Stegostoma tigrinum: one gene and its partners. The protein of the gene in region 2 binds, or shares a complex with, the protein of the main gene of each other region. Links are inferred from orthologs where the notes say so. Each region holds a gene or a part of one and is shown on either strand. Other genes may lie near its edges. The genes, in order: nup93, nup205, nup107 and nup153.

Region 1 (7,863 bases), on a different chromosome or scaffold from region 2:
ATACACTGAAGTCATGCTGAGTATTGGCTGTCAGTCTCCACCATACTGGAATTAAAATGAAACAGGTGAATCTCACAGTTTATATATATCCATTGTCTATTCAATGTCTTTTGTCCAGCGTGTCTTTTTTTGTGCTTATTTTCATCCCCATCATGATTTTGTCACAGCTGGAGGTGAGATTTGCACACTGCTTTTAATTAATTACATATACCCTTGGTTTTTAGTCATGCCAGCACAGCATTGTGATGTTGTTCTTGCAATTTGTTTTGCTGGCAGCTTACAGATATATTCTTAGTTAGGACACTTTGTTCCCACAAATAAGTTTACTTTTACATCTACTTAGCTTTTAATTAACCTTTAAAAGTTACTTACCTTTTATTAGCTGTTTTCAAAGTACTGATTTGAACTCTTACATGTCTCTCAATTTGACAAACTTTATTTATGAGGAGAAGAAAGGTAAGTGAGAGTAAAAGCTCTTAGGCCCAGCTCTATCAAAAGCAGCTATGCTGTACATTTCAACACTCACTTAACAGGTCCACATTATCAACCCTTGACATCTTCCCATGGTGCATGCAGAGGTAGAAGAACGGGAAAGCCAGAAATGAGGACAATTGAACACAACTGGGGAGTCCAAATGTCTAATAAATGAAATTTTGGCTCACCTCACCAAAATGGATCATTTCGAATCTGCCTGATTTCCGAGACACATATGTGAAGCCAGGCTTGCCACGCTGATGAAAGATTATGTAAAATCATAGAACCACAGAAGTGGGCCATTCAGCCTGCTGTGCCCCTGTTGAATATTTGCAAAGGCAACTCAGCTAACCCAACATTCCTCACCCTTTCTCCCGGAGTCCTGCGTTTTTGATTTTTTTTTGGGATTTCCAATTTTGCTTTTTAGACCACTATTGGGAAACTAGGAAGGAGAGCTGTGGTGTAGATTTCAAATGTAGTAATCTCTGGATTACACACAGTGTATACTTCCTGTACCCCACTCTTGGATAGTTCAAATTCCAAACTACTCAAAATGTAAAATAGTTCTCCCTTATGTTAGCATTTTGCATTTTAATTTAAATTGCTGTTCTCTTGGCCATTCTCCTTCCACATTTGGCTTATTTTCTATCTATTGTGAATATTTCTAGCAAATCTCTTAACTTTCTCCTCTCAGAGGAGAACAGGCAGCAATTCTTCAAATGATCCACTAACTAAAGTCCCAAAAGTCCCTGGAACTAAATCTTTCCTGCACCCTTTCGAAAGCATTCACATTATTCCCAAAATATGTGTCTAAAATTGGACACAATATTTCAACTGAGAAAAAATAACAAAGAACTGTGGATGCTGGAACCCAGAAACAAAAACAGAAATTGCTGAAAAATCTCAGCAGCCCTAGCAGTATCTGTGTAGAGAAAGCAGAATTAATGTTTTGCGGTCAATGACCCTTCTGAATTGAGCCCTCAATTTTTTTGTACCGAAATGCATCATGTCACACTTTCCTGCGGTAACTTTCATTGCAACAGGTATACCCAAACACCCACGTTTAAGTCATTAATATAATGAAGAATCTGTAACTAGGTATCTAAGATGGCACCACAAGTGGCACCTTATAAACTTTCCACTGTATTCATTTGAGTACATGTTACCATAAAGCTAATTCAATTCAATTCAAAGAGACTCTAATTCTGATCACTGAGAAACCCCACTGTACACCTTCCTTCAGTATAAAGAAAAACATTGATTCACAATTATACTCTTGTTCCAGTCACTCACCCAAATTATTACCCAGACTCTATTAGGATAAGTAAAGTTCACCATGATCTTTATTCCGTTATTGCATTAATCTGTATTTCCCCTGCAAATCTGCTTCTCTGTATCTTCTCCGACTATTTGATGAACTATATAACATACCTAGTATTGCAATGGTACCAACATCTAATGAAATTGATTCTGTTCTTGATCCCTTTAGGGACAACCTCTCTCCAGCACTGTAACCTTAATCAATAGTGTCATTCCAACTCCTTTTTTTCCCTGCTTCTCTTGGCGTACAGGAGTATTTACATCTGTGCACAGAAATACAAAGAACAAAGAAACCAACAGCACAGGAACAGGGCCTTCGGCCCTCCAAGCCTGTGCCGATCAAGATCCTTTGTCTAACCTGTCATCTATTTTCTAATAATTCAGACTTCTGGCATTTCATCGTGTACTGATCCCCAAATAACATCTACGTTTTCTTACTCTATGCTATCTGTCTGTCAAACCTTTGTGCACATTCTTTCTCCTTTCTAATGTCACATTCTGGTTCTCAATCCCCTGCCAAGACTATGAACCAGCTCATGAGAACACATTTCATGATCCTGGTCCTGCCGTGTTGCGGTGCAACTCAACCAGCCTGCATAGAACATGACCCAATGTACCAACAATTTAAAGCTCCTGCACAATCTCGCCAGTTTCATATTCCGCTGATCTATTCTCCTATTTCTATGTGCAATGCCTCTTGGCACTGTGTGTAATCCAGAGATTACTACATTTGAGGTCCACACCACAAGTCTCCTTCCTAGTTTCCCAAAGCCTGAATACAGGATCTCATTCCTATTTCTGCCTAAGTTGGTATCAATGTAGACCAAAGCAGCTGACTGTTCACCCGCTCCCTTTAGTGCTCGGCAGCTGGTTAGCGATATCCTTGATTTTGGCATCAGGGAGGCAGAAATATCATCCTGGATGCACATCCGAAGATGCAGAAAATCCTGTTCGCTCCCTTACTACCAAATCCTGTAATATGATATCTGCACAGAGCAGATAGCTGTGTTGCCACACACTTGGCTCTGACTGCATGCCTGGGGATGATCCATCACTCACACCAAGATACAAAATGTAATATCTGCTGGAGAACAGGATGCACTTCCTGCCTTATCCTCCTCGGCTGTCTCTATCTACTTGTGCACTCTTAACCTGCAGGGTGGCCACATCTAGAAACATGCAGCTGACACAACTCTCAGCAGTTGCTGTTCAATACCCAAAACCAGGAGGTTGAATCCTTACAGCTGTCAACACTTCCTGCATATAAGGTCCTCCGGCAAACAAGCTGTAGCAGCTTCAGGGAAGTATCAGAATATCTGGGAAATATTTCTGCTGCCGATACCCTTTCCTAAGTTATGCAGCTTCTCTAGCCGTCTTACCGACAACTTAAAACTTAACAGGAAAAGCAGGCCTGTCAACCTCTTTATTAGACTATTTCATTTCCCAGGGTTCTTTCACTAGTTTATTTCATAACGTCATTCTAATGGTGTATCTCACCGGGCATTTCACTGGTTTATTGCACTGGATTACGTCCATGATTTAGTTCACTAGTTTATTTCACTGGGTTACTTGTTTCACTGGATTTTTTAAAACTAATTTACTGTCATTAGTTTATTTGCTACACGATATTTTTTGACTAATTTATTTTATGGGATTATTTCACTGTATCACTTCAAAGGATTATTTTACCAGTTTATGAAACAGGATTATTTACAGCATTGGCTAATTTATATCTGTGGGTTATTTATTTCATTAGTTTATTTCACTGGGATATTGATTTAAACGGTTTAGTTATTTCACTGAGTTACCTGTGTAACTGAGTTAATTATTCAACTAGACTACATATGTATCTCTGGATTTTCTATTTTCACTGGGTTATTTATTTAACTGGATCATGAAATTAACTAAATTATGCATTTACTGGGTTGTCTATTTCACTAGATTACATTCTTCACTGATTTATTTATTTCAATGGGTAATTTCACTGGGTTATCCATTCAATTGGATTTTCTACTTCACTGGATTATCTATTTTACAGTTTAATTTGGTGGATTATGTATTTCACTGGGTAATTACTTTCACTGGGTTATCCAATATCACTGGGCTAGTTCACAGGCTTGTACATTCACTAGGTTATCTATTTTACTTATTTAGTTTTCTGGTTTATTAAATTCAATTGTCAAACTCACTGGGTTATCTACCATACTGAGTAATTTCACTGGATTATTACAACAGGTTATCTATTACTCTGGGTTATTTATTTCTGGTTTTATAGAATTATTAATTATTTCACTGATGTCTATTTCACTGGGTTATTTGACTGTAGTAACTATTACAGTGTAATATCTAATTTATTGCGTTATTACACCAGAGAGTCAATTATACTTATTATTTGACTATATTATTTGTTACTCTGGTTTATGTCACTGGGTTATTTAACTGTTTTATCTATGAGTGTAATATCTAGTACACTGGATTACATCTATTACACTGCTTTATTATACTGTATAATCAATTATAGTGGATATTTATATTTACTACACTTGGTTATTTCAACGCATTATCTATTGGACTTTATGATCATTGGTCGATTTTGCTAGATTAACTATTACACTTGTTCATTACACTACGTTATCGAAGACATGGGACGGTTTCACTCCGGTCCCCAGGTCCGTGTCACTCCAGATCCTCCCCCACCCCCCGGGGGTCCGTGTCACTCCGGTCCCCCCGACCCTCACACCGTTTAATTTCTGTTTGACTGAGTTCACCTCTGCCTCGTGAGGTTACAGTCTCATCAACGGAGCCTCTCTGATTGGTTGTTGCGGCCGGCCCGCCGAGACCTTCCGCCAATAGTACCGCCAGTAGCTGCACGTGACGCTTGATGAACCTATGGGAAGGCGGATGTTTGTTGAGGGCAGCCAATGGGAGAGCAGCTCGCGGAGCAGCCTGGGTATCGGCCAAGTGCAGGCGGCAGCTGCTTCATCGAGAAAACAGGCCCGATCCGAGGGAGAGAGGTAATTGCTAGGAGCGGGGTGATTCCCGGGCCAATACCAGGGAGTGGTTAATACTGGGGGAGAGAGAGGGTAACATGGGGGTTAGAGGGACAATACTCGGGAGGAACGAGGGAATTCTGGGGATAATACTTGGTGGGGGTAGTACCTGAGTGATGGAGGAGTATTATATCGGGGGGCGAGTAGAGGGGTAATACTGGGGTAAGGGGTAATAACAAGGGGGGCATACTCGGGGGGAGAGAGATGAGGTAAAACTGGGGAGGGGGTAATAACGGGAAAATATTGGGGGAAAGGGTGATACTAGGGCAATGGTGTTATGGGGGGAGTACTTGGTGGGCAGGAGTAATGCGGGGTAGGGATGGGGATGGGACATAGGTAGTACGGGGGCGGGGGAGATAGATGATCCTGAGGGTCGAGGGCGAATACAGTTGGGGAAGAGAGAGGTAATATGTGTTGTGCAGAGAGATACCGGGAGGGAGGGAGAGACAGATAGACACACACCTGGGGCAGGGGTAACGGGTATGGAGATGTAGTAATGCGGGTGGTGCTGGGACGAATGCTAACGGGGCACTGGTGACAGGGGTATCTAGGGACTATGAGGAGACAGGCTGGGATAAGAGGTAATGGCAGTACTGGGCAAGTGATAGCCAGGTTGGACATTGGGGGATACTAAACATATCCCCTCCGCTGACAGGGCAGGCGGGGGGGGATACTAAACATATCCCCTCCCCTGACAGGGCAGGGGAGTCCAAATCCAGGTCCATCCAAGACAGCAAATGGGGAGCAACAAGTGTTTGACTGAGTTTGAGGAATTATGATCTGAGGAAGATTGCAGAAAGGCATAGGCAAATTTTAAAATAATGTCAGTGCTGTCTCAAAGTAGAGAAGTGACAAACGTGTATAGAGAAGAAATGATAAATGTAAAGAAGTGTCTAAATAGTATTCCTAACAGCAGAGGGGGACAGAGAGATCCAGGGTTATACGTGTTGATCTTTGAAGTTCTGTATGCACTCATGAGGTCATAATAAAGATGTTTACATCCCCTTATGTATGTAGGAATATTGAGAAATATTTAAAAAATTGAGAAATTTTCTAAGAACAGTTGTTACTGTTGGGGTATATGCCCCAATTTATATTCAAGCCATGTAAAAGGTGCAGTGAAGATTTGACTGAAAGGCATCACATGAGAGATTATGAAAGAATGCAGATGTTTCCACTGGAAGTGAAATTCCAGGTCGGAAGGGGAGATCAAATAGAAGTTTTAAATATTGGAATCTTCATAATCAGTGAAAACATATCTGTAAAAGACATCAGTGTGGACCTGGAGGAACACAGCAGGCCAGGCAACATCAAAGGAACAGGAAAGTTGGTGTTTCAGTTCAGGACCCTTCTTCGGTCCCGATGAAGGGTTCTGACCCAAAATGCTGGTGTTCTTGCTCCCCTGATGCTGCCTGGCCTGCTGTGTTCCTCCAGGTCCACACTGTGTTGTCTTGGACTATCTCTCTGAAATAGATGTGTTAGCAATGACACACACAAACCAGTGTTATTACTGATTAAGAAATGGGAGGTATAGGCTGTTGATTCTTTGAACCTTTTCTGCTGTTTGATACGATTGGGACTGGTCTAAGGCAATTCTATTTTCCTGCTCTATCTCCATATCTTTTAATCCTCAACTACCCAAAATCTATTTATATCTTCCCCGAATATGTTCTGACTGACCTATCAGTGATGCCGAGGGTAGAAAATTCCAATGACACACAGTCCTTATGTTTAGACATTTTCCTCTTTGCCAAATGTCCAACTCTGACTTTTGGACTTTCACCTTGTAATTCTAGATTATGCAGCAAACAGATGCATCCTCCCAGCATGTCTGTCAAGCTTTTGGAGAATGTTGCATGATTCAATGAGATCTGCTGTCATTCTCCTAATCTTTAGGGATTATAGCCTCATCTACATGATCTCCTGTTGGGCAATTCTTTCATTGCATCAATAAATCTAACAAAACCTTATTTCATCCCCTTTGAAGGGGGGAAATATGTCCTTCTTTGACTGAGGAAAACAGGGTTGTATATATTATTCCAGATATCTCTCCGATGCCTATAAATTTTCAGCAAAATTTCTTTAAGTGTGAGGTCAATTGGGAGGTTGTTTCAGACAAGGATGGTCATGTGTTCTTGAAACTGACCATGATTTTAAGAAGGGAATAATACAAATGTCGGTAAATTGAGATAATCGGTTAGTGTCATTTGGAAACTTAACATTGGTATGGTTGTTGGAGTGAGAGTCTCCTGTGCAATATTTTCTGTGATATTAGAAAATTTAACTGAAAAATTGAGGATATATTTGAAAGATTTAAGAAGCGTGTAGCAAGATTGGTGAATTAGGAAGGTTTGTTGTAAATGAATTCCTAGTCAAGAATTGTGAAGTAACATCTTTAATGAAAAACAACTGAATTTAGAAATATAACATAATAAAATTAAGAGGTGAGGAGGCATAAATGCAGGTGTACAGTTTGTTAGGAGTGACTAAATGCCATACTATAAGATCATAAGATATAGATGTGGAGTTAGATGATTCAGCACATTGAGGCTGCTCCACTCTTCATCGATCATGGCTGATATGTTTTTCAGCCTTATTCTCCTGCCTTCTTGTAACCCTTGACTCCCTTGCCGATCAAAATCTATCCACTTCTGTGCAAGATACACTCAATGACTTGGCCTCCACTGCCTTCTGTTTGATTGAGAACAGGCAGGTAGTGGTGTTCCTATGAATTTGTTCCCCTTGTGCTTCTAGGTGGTACAAAGTGTGATTTGGAAGGTGATGTCTAAGGAACCTTAGTATGTTAACGTGTAAACTGTTGCCAGGTGGTGTCAATGGTGCAGACAGTGAATGTTTAAGGGGCTGGATTTGGTGTCGTGTGTAACAAGTAACAGTGAACAGCTGTCTTTTTTTTAAATGAGACTTCAGCTTTAGTGATGAGAAGATGGATCATAAGCATAACTTTGGAATGCAAAAGAACTTAATTGAAGATTTTAAAATTAGGAACCATTCTTAATGA
Region 2 (7,470 bases):
GAATCTTTCATGGTGTTTCCAGTTTTCAGTCCTCCAAGGCAATGAAATTGTGTCAAATCAGTTAAGCACAGCGAATAGGTGGCAATTGCAGGGCCCAGTCCACTGCATGACTTGTACATATTAAGATGGGGATTTTGCAAAAGCTTTTGGCTATGAAGCCAGAGAACCTATTTAATGTGATGTGACAAAATGAATTTCAGACATTCTTATTTCTTGTTAGATTGGCTGTAATTTCAAAGACACTGTGCAAAATCTTACAAAATGTGCAACAAAATTTTCAATCATTCCAACTATTCACTACCCTGTCTGCATACACAACTGGAAGCACAGACCTGCACTGAGACAGGTACACTCTAATGCTTGGTCAAAGAGATCGTACTTCCTCTGGTGACTTTGAATGCCAGCAAGGTATTCAACCACGAAGCTATACAATTCTACTGTCATAATTGAGCATTCATTCATGCATACTTCTTCCCAGTACAATTCTGAATTATGATAAGAAACCCCTAGCCCAGCTTCCCTCTCCCCAAATCAGGGCTTAAAGGACAGTTGTTCCAGTTCTACAATCTGAAAGTGTCTAATTGTATCAGGAACAAAAATAGCAACATGTTTTCTAGATGGTAAGAGATCAGAGATTGATGGAACTGAGTGCCCTGGTACACAAATAACGGAAGATTAAGTATGTACAGACAGCAAATAATTAGGAAAGCTAAATTAATGCTATTGTTTATTAAGAGGGGCACTGAATACTAATGTAAAAGATTATGCTTTCATTGTACAGGACTTTGGTGAAACCACATTACTGGTGTCTTTAATTAAGGAAGAATCTAAGTGCTTCTGAATGATCTTAGAAAACTTTTACCATACTCAAATTGAACTCTGCATGTTATCTTACTAAGAAAATTTGAAAGGCAAGGCTTGTAGCCACTGTTGTTCAGAAGAATAAGTAACCTGATTAAAGCATGCAGTGAGTCAAACCCCCCTCAATATTACTTACGGAAAAGTTGCTTGTGCAAGAATCTGGAACTCGGGGTCACTGCTTCAAAACAAGACCTTGTCTGTTTAAGACTCACGTGAGAAGAAATCTTTGGAGGTTCATGAATCTATGGGTTTCTGTTTCTCAGTAGGGGAAGCAGAGTCTTTGAATATTACAGCAGAGATTCTTGGTAAAGAAACATGGAAGCTTATTGTAGGTAATGAGAATTTACAGTTTCACATCAGCCACGTTCTCATTGCACGGTGAAAATGGCTCAAGCAACCAAAAAGCCTAACTGTGCACCTAATTTGTTTGTATTGTAGGAATAAATGAAACACAAATAAACCATTATTACTGGGACTTGGTCTGTGTTTTTCAGAAACAACACAAACCACTAGTGCAGAAAACGAATGTGTATTTTTATGTTACATGGTACAGGTTCAGTGTAACTTAAAAACACAAAACAGCTCAGACTAACGTTAACAGCCAAAATTAATCCATCTTAGTTGGGCCAACAAATTTGCTGAAATATCACCCCAACAGACAGACCAGCCAAACAAAGCTCAATGTTAAAATTCAGAATTGCACTGCTAGGTCTCACAACGAAACAGACAACCTGCAGTAGCCAAGTTAGTTTTTAAATCTGTTTTATATGTCAGTTAAACTATTTGTACAGGTTCACCAAGTTCTGCTGAACACCTCAATCACAATGGCAAAAGATCCCAGATTGAATGCCTTCTTTGAACTAAACTAATGGAATCAGCTTGGTGTACTTCAAAAATGGCACCATCACGTTTGGGTGGGGAGAATAATACTGTGTCTCCTGTTGCACCCTGGTGAGCCTTGCACATGAATTATGACCACCCAGATCAAATACGACAGCACTGTATCACAGCAATGAGCAAAACGTCTTGGCATAAGGGAGAGAAAGTAAGTGAGGCAAAGATTTGTGTGGACACCATCCCTTCATTATGATACATTTGAACAAAATTTGCATAAACACACAGCAGAAACATTCTTAACCACCATAACAATACAAACTATTCACCCTGATTAGATTTTGCAATCCAGAAAATCAGTTAACTTTCCTGTTGCTGCTGCAAAGGTTGATCATTCTTCGATGACAAATACTAGATAACACCATATTTCTGGGCCCAGTCACTGGACCCAAAACGTCAATTCTGCTGTTTTCTTCACAGATGCTGCCAGATCTAAGCTTTCCCAGCAACTTCTGTTTTTGTTCCTGATTTACAGCATCTGTAGGTCTTTTAGTTTTTATTTAGCACCATGTTTATTCAGTTAACCAAGGCTGTCAACAGGTACTACCCTACATTAGATTTCGCAAGAGTCAGTTGCAATTTGAGAGTATTTTGTTTTACAAATTCAAGTGTTAAATGACAATTTGCATTAGATTTAGAGCGCCATGGAAATAGGACAGCACCCAGTCAAGTCAGATCATCACGACAAGGTTCGGGTACATACACAACTGTATCAATATATTTTTTGTTTAAAGTCAATATATGCAATATGATGCTTTCATTCCTCCATTGTAACCCCCAATTTGTCTGACTTCTCATGCAAGCCCAGCCTCAGAATTTCAAACCCAAAATTGTAATAATCACTCTCTTCCTTCTTTCAGGGACATAGAAATGTTGACAAAAATTCTACACAATTTGTATTCTATTTCACAATTTGATCAGACTAACTGCTCTTGCTTACCATTTCCCACTAAAAATTTACAGACAAACTCTTATGCTCGAGATACTGCTTCAAAACTCATTGGTACATTTTGTTTTTGAAGATAAAACATCACTTGTAATTCTCAGAAACACATACATGATTTTCCCTAAATTAAACCTGAACAAATCTAATTTCAATCAAACCTTTGTAATCACCAAGATAAAAAGTATGAAACATTAAAAAAAAACAAGAGTCATATTTGTTTGGAAAGTTCTTCATGGTTACTGAACATCTTTTAGGGGCAAAAATGCCTGTACTTATTCCCAGACAAATAAATAACAACCTTCATACCTTGTATTCATTTATATAAACTCCTCCCAACTGCTAACAATGAAGTAACATCTAAGGCGAAGTGTTGGCCTGTTCCATGCCTACTTGCTCAAAAGCAAAAATAGAATAAGACTTCCCGCTAAGTTAGACACGCTGCCCATCCCTAAACGTAGTTGCAAAAGGTGCGAATGAACTTTAGGTTTTAAAAAAAGAACGAAATACTGCAAATTCACAATCCCAGGGATTATACAAAGGAGAAATAAAAATTGCGCTTTGGAGAAGGAAGGACAACCCTTTCGTGGAGGTACCCCTGAACGGTTGAGGCTAAGAAAAAACACGCGAATTCCTCTTCTCTCACCACATTCAAAGCAATTGCAACTCTCTAGTGTTTTGAAGAGAACAGGCTTTCTCCCAAGCCGGCCGGCTGGCCTGCTCTCCCCCCCTCTGCCCGTGAATCCACGGCGTGGTGCCGCTCCCCGGTGATGCTGGAGGAGGGATGGTTGGTGGCTGGGGTGGGGGGGGGTGGCGGTGGGAAGAGGCAGGCCAGCGCGGCCTGGCTGTATCGCTGAAGCCTCCGGGTAGTAGTAAATAGCTGGGGTGCCTGGCTCCCCCAAGTCTCTCTCCCTCCCAGCCCTCACCGACTCACAGTTCAAACTCAGCAGGAGCTCCCAACGCTCTTGTCCTTTCCCTGGATCTGTCTGCTTCTCTGCTGGCCTTAGCTTTCTGGGAAAGGGGCTTGATTTTCCTTGTTTCGTCCCCACCCCTTCCTCTGTCTGTCTTCTTGCTCGGAATGGCTTCCTCCACTTCTGTATTGCGGATAATTTGATATATAATTATATATCTCCGGCACTGCTCCAATTTACACACCAGCCACCATCTTTTTTTCTCCTCTCCCTTAGGAAACGCGAGACGGAGTCTGCGCAGAAAGGCGACTGCGCATGCGCCGACCCATACACCGGCAACCGTTACCCTTTCACTCGGAGCCCCGCCCCTGGGTCCGTCGTCCACCGTGCACTGTGGGACATGTAGTCTATTCGTCGCAGAATCAAGCAAACCTGGCCTAGCGGCCTACATTTCCCAGAAACTGGCTCCCACGGCTGGCTTCCCAGACATTTTTCAAACATCTCTTCGCGACAATTTCTTACTGTATCGAAACCACTATTTCTTTGATGCAATCGTGAAAATCGCGCTTTTTCTAAAAGGTTCGTTCATTGAAATTTGGTGCAATATTTTAATTGGGGGAAGATGGGGGTGGTGAATGGGTTACTTCCGGTGTGGTGGCGTGAAGGTATACTGGGAGTTGTAGTCCGGGATTGTGGGAACGGTCACGTGCCTCCCCCAAACCCGCTCGATTGAGGGCCGGTTGTGGGCAGATCGCGGGTTGGGAAGGTAACCGTTGATTCGAGAGTTGACGGGTGGCCTCTTGATCACGGTGTGTGGGCACGATTGGGCTGTTTGGCGTGAAGGACAACCTTCCTCCTCACCCCACGACAACCTGGAGGTTTTCGGTTCCGGTTCCTCTCCAAGATGGCGTCCAGGACCATGGCGGTAAATTCAGGTCAGTGAGTGAAGACGGGGGAAACAAAACGCGAGCCTCACCGTCCGCCCTTCACCCACAACGAGGGAGGGAGGTCGGTCTTTCAGTCTTTCATTCAACCGTCTGACTCTAACGTTGGGGGGCCAGTTAGCCCCCAGCTCACCCACAATCACCCGACCCCAGGCCGCGTTTCTTCATCTTCAAATGAAGACAACAATTCAGTTGGGAGAAAGGGCGGGGGAGGGGAGGGTAAGGAAGCAAGAAAGGCCTAGGGTGGCTGCGGAAGGTGGGGGCAATAGAGTAATGAGGGACAGGGACCATGTGAAAAGTAGGGGAGGTGGTTGGGTGGGCACGATGGGATTGAAACTTGCAGAATATTGAGAGGCCTGGAAAGAGTGGACATGGAGAAATTTTTTCCACTAATGGAGAGACTCGGACTTGAGAACACTGTCCCAGTTTGAAGTGATGACTCTATGGAACTCATTGTCACAGAGCTCTGTAGAGGCCAAGTAATTGAATGTATTTAACACCAAGATATGTAGGTTCTTGATAGGTAAGGGGATCAAGGGCTATGGGGAGAAAGCAGGAGAATAGGAATGACAAGCATGTCAGCAATGATCAAATGGTAAATTATACTCCATTTGTTAAATGGCCTAATCCTGCTCCTCTATCTTGTAGTCCTATTTGTTGGTGTAATATTTTTCAGTTGCTGCACAAGCTAAGGAATCTGAATTTCAGCTGAATTAGGAGCAGTTATACTGTTATCCAACTCCTTGTTCAAAACATGTTTTGGCTACAAACACTTTGTAGGGCAGAGAATTCCATAGGCTCACCACTCTTTCTATGAATATATTTTTTCTCATCTCCTAAATGGCCGAGCCCATCTCCTTAGACTAGGTTCTGGGCTCCCCAGTCATTGGGAACTTACTTGGTATGTTTACCCTGTCGTGTCTTGTCTTGTTAGAATTTTAGAAGTTTGTGGACCTGTGTCAAACGTTAAGATTAGATTTTAAAGTTTTTTTTTATCAATTGTTTCACGTTGCTCAGCAAATACTTCTCAAATAACGTTGTTTGAAGTTTTCTCCTCTCGGCTAATGTGATTTTCTACATTATGCTTAAGTACAGTAGGTTGTTTTTCGCAGATAAATTGATTGAACTGCAAATTCAAGATCTGAAACACTCAAAAATCATTGAACATCATGTTTTAGAAATTATTTGCCTTATTGAATAAAGGTTTCATTTATTCAGCATATTTTAATGTGCGAAATACCCAAACATATTGCCAAATAATTAATAAGTAAAAGGAGTACACACACTTGATACATTCTATCCAATAACATCATGGCAGATCTTCTACATAATTTCATTTTCCAGCTTATTTTCCTTTTGCTTCCCTTGGTGCCTTGGTTAGTTTACATCTACAGCCAAAAATATACAGGTCGTGAATTACGAAGATTCCACAGCCTTCTGGGTGAAGAAATTTCTCCTGACTTCATGTATAATTGACTGACCTCCTCATTGTTAGACAATGATCCTTGATTGAGGAGAGCAGCCTCTCAGCATCTTCTCTGTTTATCCTTCTTAGAAATTGTATGTTTCAATGCAATCACCTCTTTGGAACTCAAGCAAAAGTAGACTTTGCTGATAGGCTAACAGTCATGCTAGAAATAAATCCTAAACTTCATTCAATCTTGAAGAAAGGAAGAACATCCTTTCTTGTGTACTGAGACCAAATCTGTGCACCATACTGGATACAGCTTTATTAAAGCCTCATATAATCACAAGAAAGTCTATTTACTCTAACTCCCTTGCACTCAAGGCCATACCGTGCTAATTACTCTACTTGAATGTTACCTGTGGTTCATGTGCAAGTTCACCCAGAGTTTCACAATGTTCAACATAACTTACTTAGTTTTAAAAAGAGCTGCTTTACTGTTCTCCCTGCCCAAAAAATTTGCTTAAATTTTTCAAAATCTAAAACCTGGCTGAAACAATTCGGTTGAAATGTACAGTGTTGTATATGGTTCATTGAGTATTATGCATCTCAGTAATGTGCTTGAGTTATCTTTTGGTGTACTGGTCAAATGGTACAGAGGATTTTTGTATTCTCATTCTCTTTTCGTTTGGGTGTCTGCTTTATGAGTAAGGTCCTCAGTCCTGAATGCTCAGGATCTTAAAAGTTGGGTCAGTAGTAATGTCTAATAGAAACTATTTTATTAATATTTATGAATTCCTTGCTGTTCTGTGGAGTGAGGCCCCTGAATTATGTTCCTCTTTCATGGCTTGCTGAAGGGCATTATGGCTGAATACAAAATTCTCACACAAGCCAATTTTCACCTCATGAGGCTTACTGAATCTAACTCCTTACATATCTTAGGATTTTCCTGAAAAAAGGTGGCCGTGAATGAGTAATGTTCAAATCGTCAACTGGCTTTTATTTTGTGTGCTGTAGCTGCCAGTCTGTGGGGGCCGTACAAAGAAATCTGGCAGACAGTGGAGAATGTGATCTGGAAGCGTGTTCCAGAAGCTGTTCACCTGTTGGACCTCACACTCAAGAAGCACAAGCCAGATTTCATCTCTCTCTTCAAGAATCCGGTGAGTTTTTCATTCCTGTTTATTTTGTAGTTTCTATCAGTGGAGGCATGCAGGCAGTTCACAAACAGGTTTATCAGCTACACAAAGGCAACAGCAGGCCTGAAGGTCCGTCTCAGTTTCACCTTATTTTAAGAAAAAAAAATCCATGCAGAGTTGAGAATTCAAGTAAAAAGCCTGGTAAATCAACAGAAACCCAACCACAAAATCCTCCAGTCTCCAATGGACTGATGTATTTCCAACATATGTTTTCATGTATCATTTAACAGGCCAGCTCTCTGAAAGTATTGAGAATTGAACTTCCAATCCTTTGCTATGGTTCTTGTCATAAACAACAATAATTTGAAGTTCTTGT
Region 3 (7,881 bases), about 34 Mb from region 2:
TGGCATAGTCAGGTCTAGAGGCACATCAAGGCTTCAGCAGATGTACTCAGAAAAGGGTGGAAACGAGTGATGTTACAGAGTGGCAATAAGCAGTCTTACTGGTTCAAAGGTTAGTTATCTTAGTCAATACTTACAGAAGTCTTGGAATATATGAGCTGTAGCTCGAGTAGCTGATAGCAGATGTAAGCTGGAAGGGCCTTTAGCGTGCTTCAGTACTTTGAGAGAATAAGTTAAGTGAAGTTGGATCTGATAGTTCACAAACAGTCATCACTTCTTTCCAGCAAATCTTTATTAGTACTTGTTCTACATTAGTACCAGTTTGCCCAAATTAAAACACAAGTGATATTCAAACTGCTATTCTTCAAAACTGCTGCACTGCCCTTGCATCAATACTTTCAAAAGCGGTCGACCATGACATAATTATTAATCACCTCAAATAGTTAACTGAGACTGAAGCACAGAAACAAGCCCTCAAGTACAAGTAAAATACAGTGGATGCTGAAAAACTGAAACGAACAGAATACGGAAAACCCCAGCACAGCTGACAGCATCTGTAGAAGGAAAATTAGAGTTACTATTTTGAATCTGATATGAATCCTGTTCAGCGTTTCCTGACTTACAGCTAGCTTACTATCTATTTTTCCAACTACCTCAATTTCAAAGACTCGTGACTAAGGTCAGAATATATCGTGCAGTATCTTAATTAAGGTCTGTTGCAAACTTTATATATCCACCGAGTTACCTGTTACTCTTCCTTCAAAGGATTCAATGGGTTTAATGATATTTTTGCCTAACATGTTGTAACTCTTCTCCTTCTGGATTGTACATGACTTGTGTCTTTAAGTAAAAAGGCCATTATTTTTTGTTTATATTTTCCTTGACTTGTTCCTATTTTCCTTAACTATGAAAGCAGCATGGTCTTTTCACTGGAAACCTTGCCCACATTTGAAGATGTGCTCTTCAACTTTACGAACGTGTCATTCAACCATACAGATTAGGGGTAGGTACAATGTCATTTCAATAGACTCTCTCCAAGTCCAACATTCTCTCTTAAAAGTCACCCTCCAACACTATGTTCATAGAAACAGATCCTTTTATGCAGATTCTTACCCCCATAAACAGAAGTGCTCTGTTCGTGCTATATTAACAGTTTTGATCATCCTCTAGCCTTTGCCTTTGAGGTTCCTCAAAGCTCTATTCTTTGCCCCAGTTTTTGTTTCTATACGAAATGATTCTGTCCATCTTTCATTCAACTTCCTTCAGATCACATGTTCAGCATTTACAATATCCTGTTTTCTTGCAGTGCCATGGATCAATCCAATGTCAGCCATCCCATTTACTAAAACAAACAAATTCTCATTTCTTCTGATTCCTCAAAAACAGCTTCATTCTGAGTCTTTCATGTGGTTACATGACCAGAGGATTTTACCTCCATGAGCCCCAACCTTTCTGTCATGGAGCCAAGAATGTCTTCAAACGTGATAATGAATTTTCACTGTTGCTGGCAGTGTATTCAAGAAACTGTCTATTCTCTTTTCTTCTTTATCACTCCTGTCTTTCCTTCCTTCAGTAGTAATTAAGTTAATTATATGTACAGAACTTGAGAATTGCCTACAAAAATTTAGTCAAAGCTTTTACCTTGAATGTAGCAAGAAAGATGAGGAAAAAAAAACAACTTTCATACTATATTGAGGAGAGTGGGGAGTGATTGACAAGTGGACTGTAATTGGTTGAGGTACTGCCATGAAGAGTGCACTCATGGACAAAATGATTTATGAAAGCCCCAAAGTAAGTTATAGATTACAATAAAGCTTACTCTGCCACAAGTAGACTCAGAGATACCGATTGTGCATTATGCTGATCTTTGCAAAAATACAGAAATAAATGTCTGGAATACATGGAAGAAAAAAATGCCTATTTATGTCTTTCAATTCACAGCAGGGAGGGAAAGATCTCCTTGCCCTTGATCATCCCTCTGCCATCGTTTTAAAAAAAATCCTTTGAACAAGATGCGTCCAGCTCCATGTTCCAAAGGCGGCTTCTTGGTGGGTTTATTCTTTTTGAAATATTGATCATTATCTTCAAGTCCTTCCCTAATAAACATCAGACCATAATGCTCTTGTCCAATGAAAAAGATAGTTTCCATACTTCATTCTTTAAAAATAGCAATATTCCTGAGTCACAAAGACAACTTAGTAAACTTACAAGAGAATGCAGAAAACAAAGGAAACACAATATTTCACATAAAAATATAGGTTAAATGTTACCATTGGAGACCCGTTGGTCAGAATGGCATAAAGTGAAAAGGATACTGTCAGAACCTTTTTTTGTAGCACTGCGCCTCAGAGAAGTTCTACTAGTTTCAGAGCTCCGGACTTCAGGAGATGGGAAATCTCCACTTGTCCGTCTGAAATAAGAAGATCCAAAAGTTTAGAAACCAATGCTAAGATTTTAAAGGTAGCTACAAAACCTCATATTAATACACAATTCAAACTAATGTTATTGTTCAATAACTTCCTTCTAAACATGACTGAAATTAAACCATTGATTTGTTACTTGCTTTTTTAGCTGAAAAATAAAGATCAAATTCAAGTTAAATATTTTAAAATATACATATAACAAATATATTGCACCTCCATCTAAAACATTCTTTAAATTCCACAAGACCTCAAATGAAATCTTCCTGCTACGTTGTATTTGCCCTCAACCACACATCTAACTCTCCTAATCACCAGGCCAGGGTCTGAGATTTCGCTCAGTAGCTCAAGAAACACCTTTTCATCCCTTCCCTCCACCTACAACCTCTTCACTACCCCTTCCATTCTCTCACCACCCCCTTCACTCCTGACCCCTGCAGTCTCTACCTCCTATTCCTCCCCTCACTTCTCCAATATTCTTCTCCGTCCCTTCCTCCTCCTCCAACACCCACTCTCCCTCCCCTTCTTCTCGCCTTCGCCTCCTTTCCCTGTCCACCTTCACCCCCATCCATCTTCCCCGATTCCTCTCTCTCTCTCTCTTACACAAGGCCCTGGACATAATTCTGATAGAAGCACATCTCACGTGGGCGCTGAAACAAAGGTCGATCTTCCTACCTGTCCAGTGATTCCTGCCATACTTGCGACATGTTGAGTGCCGACAAACTACCGCCTGTTGATCCGTAAAAGCACCAAAACTACACCTCCACTTTCATCGGCGCGCGCTTCAACGGCCGCGTCCTTCGCAGTCAAGAGGTAACAGATTCCCTCCGGATCTCAGCGCCGCTTCGGGCGCCCCCTGTGGTTGGCGAGCAAATTGACATACACTCAACAAGCGTTTCATTACATAGACCGGAAAGAGCAGGAATTAGGCCATTCGGCCCATTGAGTCTGTTCCGCAATTCAATCATGGCGGATAAATTTCTCAACCCCATTCTCCTGCTTTCTCCCCATAACCCTTGATCACCTTGACAATCAAGAACCTATCTATCTCCGTCCTGGCCTTCTGTGGCAATGAATTCCATAGATTCACAACTCTCTGGCTGAAGAAGTTTCTGTTTATCTCCGTTCCAAAAGGTCTTCCCTTTACTCTCGAGCTGTGTCCTTGTCTCTCTGGATAATGGAAACATCTTCCCACTGTTTATTCTGTCCAGGCCATTCAGTATTCCTCCAGAATCCCTACAGTATGGAAACAGGCCCTTCAGCCCAACAAGTCCACATTGAACCTCAGATCATCCCACTTAGACCCATCCCCCTATAACCCACCTAATCGACACCTCCCTGAACACTACAGGCATGGACAATCAACCTAACCCACACATCTTTGGACCATGGGAGGAAACCCACGCAGACATGGGGAAAATGTACAAACGCCACACAGGCAGTCACCCGAGGCTGGAATCAAACCCAGGCTCCTGGCACTGTGAGGCAGCCGCCACCATGACACCCCAATTTCAATTAGAACCTTCCCTCCATCCTTCTGAACACCATCGAGTATAGACCCACAGTCCTCAAATATTCCTTATGTGTTAAACCTCTTATTCTTGGGATCATTCTCGTGAATTTTCTCTGGACCTACTCCAGGGCCAGTACATCCTTCCTGAAGTATGGGGCCCAAAATTGCTCACAATAGTCTAAACGTGGTCTGACCAAAGCTTTATAGGCTCAGAAGTAAATCCCTGCTTTTACGGTCTAGTCCTCTTAAAATAAGTTCCAAAATTCACCAATCCAATACTCAGACCTCTTATTGAAGAGGCAGATTGTGTTTGGAGGGTTGAATAAATAGTTTTTATTTGGGAGGTTTGTGTGCTATGCTCTCTCCAAGACCTCAACTTTGGGTCTGTGTTCCCAATAAAGTCTACTGATGTAAGTTGTACCTTCCAAAAGCTTCTCCACATTGGTCAATTACAAGTCAGGGATTTAAATGAGGCTCAGGTTTTTTGACCTCTTCAGGGATGCTCTGAGGATGTCTCTAAAGAAGAGAGAAATTCCATTTCCCTCCTGAGATTCTCATGTCTCAACCATGTTATGAGTAGAGTAGTTGCTTCGAGAGCCTCGTGTCAGGCATACAATGATTTCTGCTGCTCAGCAGGGCTGTTTTTGAATTATTAACATCTTAATTCTGGGCATGTTAGCTTGGGAGACAATGCTGCTATCATTATGTCTTTCTTGCCACTCAGTTTGCAGAATCTTGTGAAAGCACTGCTGGTGGTACTTGTCCAGTTTAACTACCCCATGTCACAAAGTTAGACTGTAGCTATATCTCATCTAACTCTCTCTCTATGTCACTGCTACTCGGTCCCCAGTGGCCACTTGAAACCTGCTTCTTGTCATTATCCAATATGGGAACATCACATACAGGCAAGCAATCTGACAATTTCAAAGATGAGCTTTTATTTACAGCCAGCAAGAGCAAACACAGCCAACACCAATAGAGACTGTGTTTTATCTCAACAATGACAACCAAATGTTGACATGATAACCAATGACTAATTTACAATCAATGATGTCCTTCTGCATTTAGCTCGCATCGCTTGAAACCTGGTGTCAAAGGTCCTGTGGGGCTTGTAGTGCTTGACATACCAAGTTAAGTCATGGACAAAGACAGCTTTCTTCTCTCTGCTGTCTTCATCTTCCTTCTTGGAAGGCTGGGTCCATTCTTCCAGTTCCTCAGCTTCTATCACATCACCTCATTGCCTGCTACAGCTGTGCAGAGCACAGCATAACTAGGTGATGCGACACACTCTGCTGGGACTGTACTGCAGGATTCCACCCCATTCTTCCCAAGACCAGTCCAAGCAGTGGAATCTCATCTTGAACAACCCTGTTGACAGTTCCAGTATGGCCATGATTGAAGCTTTATATCTGTGCTCCACGTCAGACAGGAGTTTAACTAAAGGTGCCATGAACCATGGTCACAGTGGCTATCCATTGCCCCCCAGTAACCAGACTTGTAATGTACCTAACTTCAAACATGCCAAGTGCATGAGAGTACCCCAGGATGTAGGAGTTATGGCTGCTACCAGAGTAGTGGATAAACACCTGCAGAAGTGGTAACAGTAATCATAGATAACCTGAACATTAATCAGGTGGAAGCCATTCTTGTTTATGAATTCCAAAATATTGTTACATGACCCTCAGTGCCACATGTGTGTAGTCACTGACACCCGTGGGAAGGCAGCTGTGTTCCCATTATTTTACTGCCCAGACTGCAGCGCCAACCTCATCATGAGGAAACAAAATGAACTGGTGTGACCTTGCACAGATGGCATCAATGTTCTGATGCATTTGTGGCTGCACGACTGAGATATCCCAAATAGGTCATACCGAAATTCAAATTGACTGTCACTTTCACCAGGAGAAGATGGCTTTCTGCAGCTCTCAGATCTCACTCTAGCAGTGAGCCCGGGACATATAGAGCCTGTGTGATTACTGTGCCTCAATTATTCACATGAAAAGGTGTCAAGGCCTATGAATCCCATGCATCCTAAGGGGTTCTGTTACTATAACCTTTCACCAAGCTGGGTGCTCCTCATTTACTGCAGGGGCCTGCTGCTATTTCTAGGTTCACTGTTGGCCCTGGTCCTTCTGCATCCTCCTTCACTTTCTTAGGAACGTAGCCACAGTGACCGAAATCTACAAACCGCATAGCGCAGGACACTCAGAGGAAATGACCTAGTTTTGGAACACAAGAGCCATTTATGGCATACCCTGCAAAGAAGGGCTGAAAATACTTCTCGATACAGTGAGACATGATGCTCCCCAATTATTCATTCAGCTTCAGCCTCAACTTGATGAAAGATGGTTGAGTGGCCACATTACAACAAAAGGGATCACTGGATGTGCTCTGACCCTCTTCCCATCTCAGACCCACATCATCCATTCAACTTTTCATTGCACTAGTTTGGATGATCATTAAACTTATTTGATAGATGATGGGCCTGTACCTCCCACTAAACCTTTGGAAGATATAGAACATAGAACAGTACAGCACAGTACAGGCTCTTTGGCCCACGATGTTTTGCCGACCTATTATCCTACTAAGATCAAATTACCCTGCATACCCTACATTTTTTATCCTCCATGTGCCTATCAAAGAATCGCATATATATTCCCATGTAATACATTTGTTTGTTGCACAAACTTCCAAGGTCTGTGAATGGCAGCAACTACCAAAACCAGAAGTTAACATGTCCAGCACAGCAGTCTGCGTGCACAGACCCTGCACATGTTAATGTAGCCATGCAGCTTAGTAGGAAAGTTGTTTGGAAATTGCACAATTAATGGTTCACCTTGCATAATATTGACCTCTATCTGAAGTCATTGCTGCTGTCTTCTGCATCACTAGGACATCAATATTCCATTTGCAAGGACCAATAGCGAGGCACAAATCACTTTTGACCAGCATTTGAAGCCCAGGCATGTTCATTCGTCAGACATTGCATTGGTTAAAGAAGCAATTGCAAATTAAATGTAGGTGAAGTTTGCAATCACCTCCTTCATGTATTTGCCACTTCAAGTGCTGGAGAGCAGGAGACATGGATCCTGTGCTTTCATCCATCAAACGGACAGCACTTCACCCATCCTGTGCCATGTCCCAGTCACTCTGCAGTTGCATTTCACATCTAGAGAATGGCAAGTGGATGGCAGGGAAGGCAGCTCATCACCATCAGCACCCTGTTTTGCATGGCTGCCAGGTACCCACCCTACCCCTAGAGCTTCCATGTCTCCTTTAACATTACACTACCCCAACAAGTTACCACCAATCTCCAACACACCTCCCACACTCTCACCAATGAGGAGATCCAATACATCAAACGCTACCAAATTTCCTCCCTGCCTCCTGAACACTGATGTTATACCTTAATGACATGCACCCATCTCCTTTATAGTGCTGGCCATTTCCAGCAACCCCCCCATATGTTGCTTATCATGCCCTTTGATGCTGTTGGACACATTCCCCATATACCTTAAGATCACATGTCCATTACTATCCTTTTCCCCACCTTTTCAACTGCATCTCACAGCTTTACTTATCCGTCCTCAGTTGGTCTCACCATATAAATACAGTGGCTATAACAGCATGTCAGAGGCGGGGAATCTTACAATGAGTAACTCACCTCCCGACTCCCCAAAGCTTCTTCACCATATACAAGGCACAAGTCAAGTGTGTGATGGAATCCACTTGCCTGGATGGGTGCAGATCCAACAATATTCAAGAAGCTTGGCACCATCCAGGACAAAGCAGCACACTTGATTGGCACCACATCCGCAAACTTTCACTCACTCCACCACTGACGCTCAGTAGCAACAATATGTACTATTTGCAATGTGCAAAACAGAAATTCACCAAGACTTCTAAGACAGCACCTTACAAACCCATGACCATTTCCATCTTGAAGGACAA
Region 4 (7,781 bases), on a different chromosome or scaffold from region 2:
ATTTTAAACTTTGAACAAATCACTTTCTGTTTTTCTTCATAATTTCATCCTTGGATTCTGGATTTCATTTTAATGTATTTAAATGCTGAACTACACTGTGTACCCTGCAATGCAATTTATCCTAAGATGTGCACAGAACTACTCACACTACTCTCAATTGTGATCTGACAAGGGTTTTTTATTGACTAACTTGAGTTCTTCTAACTCCATCTGCTACTCTAATTTCTAATATTTTAGATCCATGTAAACAGCGCCCACATCTCTTTGAACCTTCACTGCTTGATACTTTTCATCATGGATAATGTTCTGAAGTTTTTAGGTTCATTGTAAATATTATTTTCCATAATTATGTTTATTCAGAATATGTTCATATTTAAACTGCATGTATGCTGGATTTGTGGCTTTGTTCTTTAATAGATGTGCCTTTAGGCCCCAACACAGATCTTTGTGGAATATCGCAAGTCATGACTCAGGCCTACTCTGTCTCTTCCCACTCTACCAATTTCCTAACTACAATTGTGTACACTTCCATGAGTTTCAAATTTAGCTAATAAGGAGTTATCAAACATCTTTTGGAAATTCATACAACAACATCCATAGATATTCCTACGTCCGTTGTTTCAGTTAATTCTGCAAAATATAAAATCATTGATTTGTTCTTATACAAGAAGCAAATATTTGGCTCAATAAGTATCTGCCCACTCACCACAAGAGCAACTCATCTTGTCCCGTTCCTTAATCCTTTCCCTGTAGCATTGCATTCTTTTCTTCTCCAGGTGCTTATCTAATTAGGCGCCTTGTAAATGTGCCTTATAAAAGTCATGGTCAAAATTGTCTTTATCACTCGCAGGCAATGCATTCCAATTCTTAGTCAATTACTGCATAAAAATACTTTTCTGCATGTTGCTGTTGGTTTGTGTGCTTCTCAGATTAAATCAGTATCCTTCTGTTCTCAATCATTCTCCAACAGCAGACCATTTCTCCCAAGATGCTCTGTCTTGATTCTTCCTGATTTCAAATACATTATCAAATCTTCTCTCAACCTTCTCAAATCTGTCAAAGTAACTCAGGTTCCTCATCCCTGGAATCATTATGCTAAATTTTTTATGCATCTTTTCTGAAGACTTAAGGTCTTTCAAAAGTATGGTGCCCAGATCAGACTCAATATTCAAGTTGACGGTTAAAACTATGAAGATCAAATTGAATCAGGTTTGTCTAGTGTAATTTTATTTATTCATTTGTGGGTTGTGGCTGTTGTTGGCTGGACTGACATTTATTTGCCCATTCTGATTCCCCCTGAGAAGGTGATGCTGAGCTGCCTTCTTGAACTGTAGCAGTTCTTGGGGTGTTAGAGAGTTCCAGGATTTTGACCCCTTGGAATTGAAGGACTTACAGTTACAAGTCAAGATGGTACTTGCAGTTTGAATACTATTTGGCACTTATTAGCTCAATGCTGAAAGTTGTCTAGGTCTTCCTGCATATGGATATTGACTGCTTTAGTAGCTGATAAGGAATGATTGGTGACCAATGTGCAATCATTGCCAAACATTCCCAATTCTCACCTTATGGTAGATCTGTGCAATCTTTCTTGGGTCAACTGAAACAATTCAAGGTGTTCAATGCAAGGGAATTCATGCAGACCTGTATTCCAACCAGAACTCCATCAATAAACACGTTGAACTGGACCCAATATACAAACCACTGAAAAACAGAACTGGAAATAATGCCAATCACCCCAGTAAACCAAGGCATATAAATAACAAGCAGGAAAGAATACCAAAACTACACAAGAGGCGCACTGACCATGATACCTTGCAGGGTGACAAAACATCTGCAAACAAATCGATCGACTCAGTGAGCAAGTCTACAAACTCATCCACAACCCAAGCTACAAATCTAAAAAACTTTTAAAGGTGTTCAATCTTTGTATAAGTGAATTTAGAGTCTAGTAATTCCCTAACAACAAATGTTAAACTAAGAACTAATGTTATTCCTTATGTATAATTAAGGCTGAGACAGATAGATTCTTGATCGGTAGGGGAATGATGGGTTACAAAGAAAACAGAGGAAAGTGGGCATCAGCAATAAGAACGTTAGACAAAGGAGAGTCAGTGTAAGGGATTCTCTGGATTTAGAGAAGACTTTTGACAAGGTACCACACAGGAGGCTGCTAAATAAGAGCCCATGGTGTTCTGGGAAAGGTACTGGCAATGGACAGATGACTGGCTGACTGGCAGGAGACAGCAAGTGGGCATAAAAGGATCTTTTCCAGGATGGTAGCTCGTGACCAATGGAGTTTCACATGGGTCAGTGTTGGGACCACAACTATTCATGTTAGACATCATGATCTGGACAAAGGAACTCACGGCATAGTTGGTAAATTTGCACATGACACAAAGATAAGTGCAGGGGCAGGCTGCGTTGAGGGAAGCTATAAGACTTGGATAGGCTGGAAAAGTGGACAAAGAAGTGGCAGATGGAATATAATATGGAAAAGTGTGAAACTGTGCACTTTGATAGGGAAAATAGATGTTGGACTACTTTGTAAACTGGGGAAAGGCTTTGGAAATCTGAAGCACAACGGGACTTAGGAGTCCTAGTTCAGGATTCTCAAGGTGAACATGCAGATTCAGTTCAGAAGGTAAGTGCAATGTTAGCATTCATTTCAGGAGGAATAGAATACAAAAGCAGGAATGTACTAAGGACGCTGTATGAGGCTCTGGCCAGATTATATTTGGTATATTGTGAGCAATTTTGAGCCCTGTACGTATGGAAGGATGACCCTGCCTCGGGGGGGAGTGTTCAGAAGGATGATCCTGGAAATGGACGGCTTGTCATACAACAAGTGTTTGAAGAACTAGATAGCGTTTTGAAGGATGAGGGGGTATCGTAATTTAGAATTCTGAGAGGCCTGAAGAGGGGGGATGTGGAGAAGATGTTTCCACTTGCAGGGGAGACTAGGACTTGAGTGCACAGCCTCAGAATTAAAGAATGACCCTCAGAACAGAGGCTGGTAAATCTGTGAAACTTGATACAACAAAAGGCTGTGCAGGTAAGTCATTGACTGTCTTTAAGAAAGACACATTGATAGGAACTTGATTAGTAACGTACAGGAAGAAGGCAGGAGAAAGGCGTTGAGAAGCATATCAGCCATAATTGAATGGCAGAACTCATTCGAATGGCGTAACTCTGCTCCTATATCTTACTGTCTCATGAGCTATGCTCCTATCAAATTTATTATCCTGCCATGATAGATGGTGGAATCTGAATTCAATGAAAAAAAAACACATGAAAGAAGAGTCTACTGGTGACCATGAAAGCATTGTTGCTTGTCAGGAAAACTCATGTGGTTCACTAATGTCCTTTACGGAAGGAAATCTGCTGTCCTTACCCGGTCTAGCCTACATCTGACTCTGGATGCACAGCAATGTGGTTGGCACTTAAAAATTAGGGACAGGCAATAAATGCTGGTCGAGCGTGCAATGCCCACATTCCCTTGAATGAGTGAAAAATAAGGCAGAGCACAATCAAGGGCCAATGTGCCCTGCAACTGTTCCCATTTCTTATGGTCATATGGTTTTTAAGGAGAACGTATAAGTGAAAGTTGAGTTTAGAACTTTCACTAGAACCAAATTAATTTCTCCCCCTTCACTGCCACCTGACTTTTTTTTGTTTGCTTGAATTACAGCATCGGTAGTAGGTTGCGTTTGGAATCACCAGAGGATAAAAAATTCAACGATTGCTGCCACCACACACATAAGTAAACGCCAAAAATCATAAGTCAATTCGCATCAGTACAAAGTTAAATTTTACATTTCTACAGTACTCGTCATGACTTCCAACGTCCTTACACGCAATCCATGACGCCTGTAATGAGGTGGAGACACAGTTGTGATGTAAAATGACTCATAATATTTCGGCGAAACTTTCTTGACCCTCTGTAGCTGCTTTCTCAATGTTAGATAACACTGTCTGATTTCAGTCTAGTAATATTTTGGAATAAACCAATGACCGTTTACACACTTCACATTTTCAATAAGGTAATCTTGGTTTCCCTTGAGTAAGTTTTGGTCAGTAATTCCCCTTCCCTCAAGCACGAAACTGATCAGCACGCAGATTCTGTAGCCAAATGAATCCCTTTGAAAAATTCACTGATCCACTTGAGCTCAAGTCAATCACGTTCGTAGAGCCAGAGATGGACATCCTGAGGAGAGAATGTAGATTTCGTACACCCGTATTACCCTCCCGATCTCCATCCTCAGAAATATTTTGGTCTAAAGACCAGAAGCACAGAAACATGGTGGGGAGACGAGGGCAAAGCGGAAGTTAACACATGCGCTAATCTTCCTTCTGCTCCCTTGATGCTTTGCGGGCCGTTTGTTGGGCGGAGCCAATGGCAGCGTCTGGCGGCGGGGTGACGCAGGCTTGGCGCATGCTGTCTCTTGAGCGCGCATCGTGCGTTGGGGGAAAAACCCTTCCCCTGAGGGAAGGCACTTGCGTGCGAGTGAGCGAGAACGCGCCCGCATGCGGATGGTTGGTTGAATGCTTGTTGCGAAGTGCGTGGTTGCGGGAGACGGTAGAAAGCGTGTGACGTTACAAGTGTGGATTCCCCCCTTCTCCGTCCCTCCTCCCCCCCCACCTCTTCCCGGACACGGCTGCTAGGAAATAGAGAGCGGCGCGAGCGACTGGTAGGCAGACGGATTCAGATATGGCGGCGGCGACAGGAGGAGGGGGGGGTAAAATCCGAAACAAGAGACACCATATCATCAGCAAACCTTACGCTAAGAACCAGGTATTTTATTTTATTATTTGTTGTTACTCTAAAGAAAGGATTGCCAAACCGGACCGCGTTAGGTTTAACTAAGTCGTTGCAGGAGGAGGCGGCTGTCGTGAGCCCCGCTTTCTCGGCAGAGACGGTGTGCGCGAGCCGCGGCCTAGTGGCTGGCTTCAGCGGCCTGAGCGATTGAGGGCAGAGTCGGGACCAAACTTGGGCCCGACCTGTTCAAAAAGGTAAAAAAAACAGGCTGGAGGCGGGTAGAAGGTGCTGACGACGGAGCTGTAACTCCCAATGGATCTCTCCCCTCTGGGATTTATTTCATTGTGTTTAGTGTTTACTGTATAAATGCTGTTGAGACGCTTCTTGTCGGCTTGTTATTCGCTTCCGGTTGCATTCCCACGGCCGGCTGGTAAGAGCGACTTTCTCTCCTTTTTTTCCCTCGACTTCGTCTCCCCTGTTTTACTACGCTGCCCTGTTTTTCTTCCTTCAATCTCCCGTTCTGGCCTGAGCTTCACTGGGTAGTCTTTCGGCTTGCTCCGGTCTCCGTCCTTTTCGCGTGCCGCCATGGGCATTTTGGCGCGGACTTGATTTGTTCCTTTAAAGCGAGTCTTCCATAACATTTTCGAATACTGCTGTTCCTGTTGTGGAAGTTTGGCGTACAAGTGCGATTTTAGCCAGTACATTCGTGTACTGCATTTTAACCAGTTTCCTCTTCTACGATCATCGTGGGTTTGGGGGTGGCTCAGCTGCGACTTTGACATGAGGACTTCACGCTGCCGGTATCTGGAGTACTCAACTGTTGCCACCGACTTCTTAATAAATTTACATTTTGACGGGACACTTTGCTTTTTGAACTTCAGCTAGTATATTACCTGAGGGATTTATATTCGAACAGTCTGATTTTAAAATTATTACAATTAGTACTAGTATATGAGGTTGTTAGTATCAAAAACAACCGAAAGCATTTTGGTTGGAAGATCGGTCTTATTTGTGTTCAGAAACTTGGCATTCAAAAATAATTTCCACACAACTTTTATATTTCATTCCCAACTATACTGAGGGGGTATTGCTTCATTGTGATAGGCTTTTGCAAACCATGCTGATGCATTCTTATCGAAATGGAAGTGCATAATCGGCACTGTAGGCTTGTTTCAGCCCTTCAGTAAGATGCTTGTTTCTTAGATCTCAGATGTTAATATGTGGGAGGGAAAAAGTGAATTTATGAAATATAATGCGCAAGTACGGACATCTTGAAGCACTTTACAGTCATTAAAGTTTCATCCTTGTAACAAAGAAAACCTGACACCCAGTTTGTGCGTACAAAACTTCAACAAACAAATGTGTTGGGCCAAGTAATCGTTCTCTGATGCTCTTCTTTGAGACAGTTCCATGACACCCTTTATATCCACCTGAGGGGCAGTTGGGCTACAGCATCTCCATGGTGCAGGACACATTTGGGTGCTGAGCTGGTCTGCCAGTCTTGATTTTTATGCTGAACTTTGAATGAATCTTAAATTTGAAACCCTGTGACCCAAATGAGTATCACTAACCGAACGTCAGTCATTAGGACCATATTGATATTTTTGTTCTGGAAAGAATTTCACCTGCTAAAAGCATGCATTTGTGTGTGTCCCGCATCTATGAAATGTGTAGTTATTTACTACTTTAAGGATTATGGTTACACTTGCTGTGTATACTCTTTATATAGTTAAACCTCACCTTATGTTTTACCTTTCAAATATTATTGCTACCTCCCTTAGATTGTTGTATCTTTCACTCTTCAGTCTTATTTCCAGCCACTTATTTGTTTTCATGTACACTAACTCATTGTCAGTACACACAGTCTTAGAGTATCGCAGTCTTGCATTTTAAACACGTTGCAAGTTACCGAACTAAACTTATATATATTTGGTGCTTTAAACCTAGCTTCACAAAGTGTTATCAGATAGAAGTTAGTGATGCAAAGTTTTAAAACTCCTCTTGGAGGAGGGTGAGGTGGAAAATTTTGTGAAAGGAATTCTGTAGAAGCTGTGTCATTGGTACACAAAAGAAAATTGGGAATTCAAAATGCACCAGTGTTCCAGGTTCGAAGTAAATGGGACTTCTTTGTTCCACCTTTCCTAACATGATTGTAACTAGATTATCTCCAGTGATTACTTTTTTTCCTATACCATTATGCCTTTGTTCAGAAGACCCATGGAAGCCTCCTTTTATTTACTTGCATGTTGCCTTCTGATGGTATCATCCTCAGTCTTGGGTCAGCTTCCAGTCAGAACAAGGCTGAAGCCATTGTATTTGGATCTCCAGTTTAATCTTGCTGACCCAGATTTACTTCAACCTCTTCAAATCTGAACTGAGATTCTGAATTCAAATAATTATTATTATTATTGTTATTATTGTAAATAGCACTTACGTTAACCTGTAAGATGTTCTTGTTACGTTCTGCATTTATGTAGAAGCATGCTGGCAGTTTATAATAGTCATATTTTTAAAGATGTGAATATGCAGGGAATGTAGGAATATGTACCATATGCAAGCAGATGGGATTGGTTTAGAATGGCAACTTGGTGGGCCACGTGACTGGTCCTGTGCTGTACTGTACTCTATAATATCGCTTGCATCTATGGGGTAAACCTTTCTGCTACTGAAACTCAACTATGCCTTTATTGCTTTGATGCAAATATGTCCATGCCTGCTTTTGTCCTCCACTACCTGTAAAGATCACCTCATTCAAAACTACCTTTTATGTTCTACTTATACTTTGTTGCACTGTTAATACTCCCTGTTCTTGCTGACTTTCATTGTCTCCTGACCCTTCGGGCACCTAATTTCTAAAATTTTCAGTTAAATCCCTTTTTGTATCCTCTATTGTCATCTCTGAAACCTCACCCAGCCCACAAGTTTCACCCACACAAACTTTCCACCTACCTTGCCTTTGGTTCAAAATGTCTTCAGCTGTCTATCCATTCTATTCCACCAGCCGTAACCTGAAACACTAAGTAAT

What was found.
Region 1: nup205 (region 2) and nup93 share a complex: the UniProt entries of both Homo sapiens proteins name them as parts of the nuclear pore complex. The link is inferred for Stegostoma tigrinum from reciprocal best matches to the Homo sapiens genes NUP205 and NUP93.
Region 3: the proteins of nup205 (region 2) and nup107 are in contact, whole or in part, in a cryo-EM structure (PDB 7WB4), measured with the Xenopus laevis proteins. The link is inferred for Stegostoma tigrinum from reciprocal best matches to the Homo sapiens genes NUP205 and NUP107. Residues at the interface, in XP_041443600.1 of Xenopus laevis: Gly1247, Gln1248, Arg1249, Pro1250, Ser1458, Arg1506, Gln1507, Leu1983, His1991, Gln1995; in NP_001091312.1 of Xenopus laevis: Gln134, Glu136, Pro189, Tyr282, Tyr283, Gln770, Ser772, Phe773, Thr774.
Region 4: nup205 (region 2) and nup153 share a complex: the UniProt entries of both Homo sapiens proteins name them as parts of the nuclear pore complex. The link is inferred for Stegostoma tigrinum from reciprocal best matches to the Homo sapiens genes NUP205 and NUP153.

What each region holds. Positions count from the first base shown.
Region 1 is NC_081369.1:15,168,453-15,176,315, forward strand, and holds the start of nup93 (nuclear pore complex protein Nup93), read left to right. Parts: upstream 1-4,721; 5' UTR 4,722-4,808; intron 4,809-7,863. UniProt on the Homo sapiens protein: Plays a role in the nuclear pore complex (NPC) assembly and/or maintenance. May anchor nucleoporins, but not NUP153 and TPR, to the NPC. During renal development, regulates podocyte migration and proliferation through SMAD4 signaling.
Region 2 is NC_081371.1:3,290,844-3,298,313, forward strand, and holds the start of nup205 (nuclear pore complex protein Nup205), read left to right. Parts: upstream 1-4,321; 5' UTR 4,322-4,513; coding exon 4,514-4,544; intron 4,545-6,975; coding exon 6,976-7,118; intron 7,119-7,470. UniProt on the Homo sapiens protein: Plays a role in the nuclear pore complex (NPC) assembly and/or maintenance. May anchor NUP62 and other nucleoporins, but not NUP153 and TPR, to the NPC.
Region 3 is NC_081371.1:37,318,157-37,326,037, forward strand, and holds the start of nup107 (nuclear pore complex protein Nup107), read right to left. Parts: upstream 3,223-7,881; 5' UTR 3,125-3,222; coding exon 3,093-3,124; intron 2,408-3,092; coding exon 2,313-2,407; intron 216-2,312; coding exon 135-215; intron 1-134. UniProt on the Homo sapiens protein: Plays a role in the nuclear pore complex (NPC) assembly and/or maintenance. Required for the assembly of peripheral proteins into the NPC. May anchor NUP62 to the NPC. Involved in nephrogenesis.
Region 4 is NC_081355.1:33,648,638-33,656,418, forward strand, and holds the start of nup153 (nuclear pore complex protein Nup153), read left to right. Parts: upstream 1-4,526; 5' UTR 4,527-4,708; coding exon 4,709-4,792; intron 4,793-7,781. UniProt on the Homo sapiens protein: Component of the nuclear pore complex (NPC), a complex required for the trafficking across the nuclear envelope. Functions as a scaffolding element in the nuclear phase of the NPC essential for normal nucleocytoplasmic transport of proteins and mRNAs.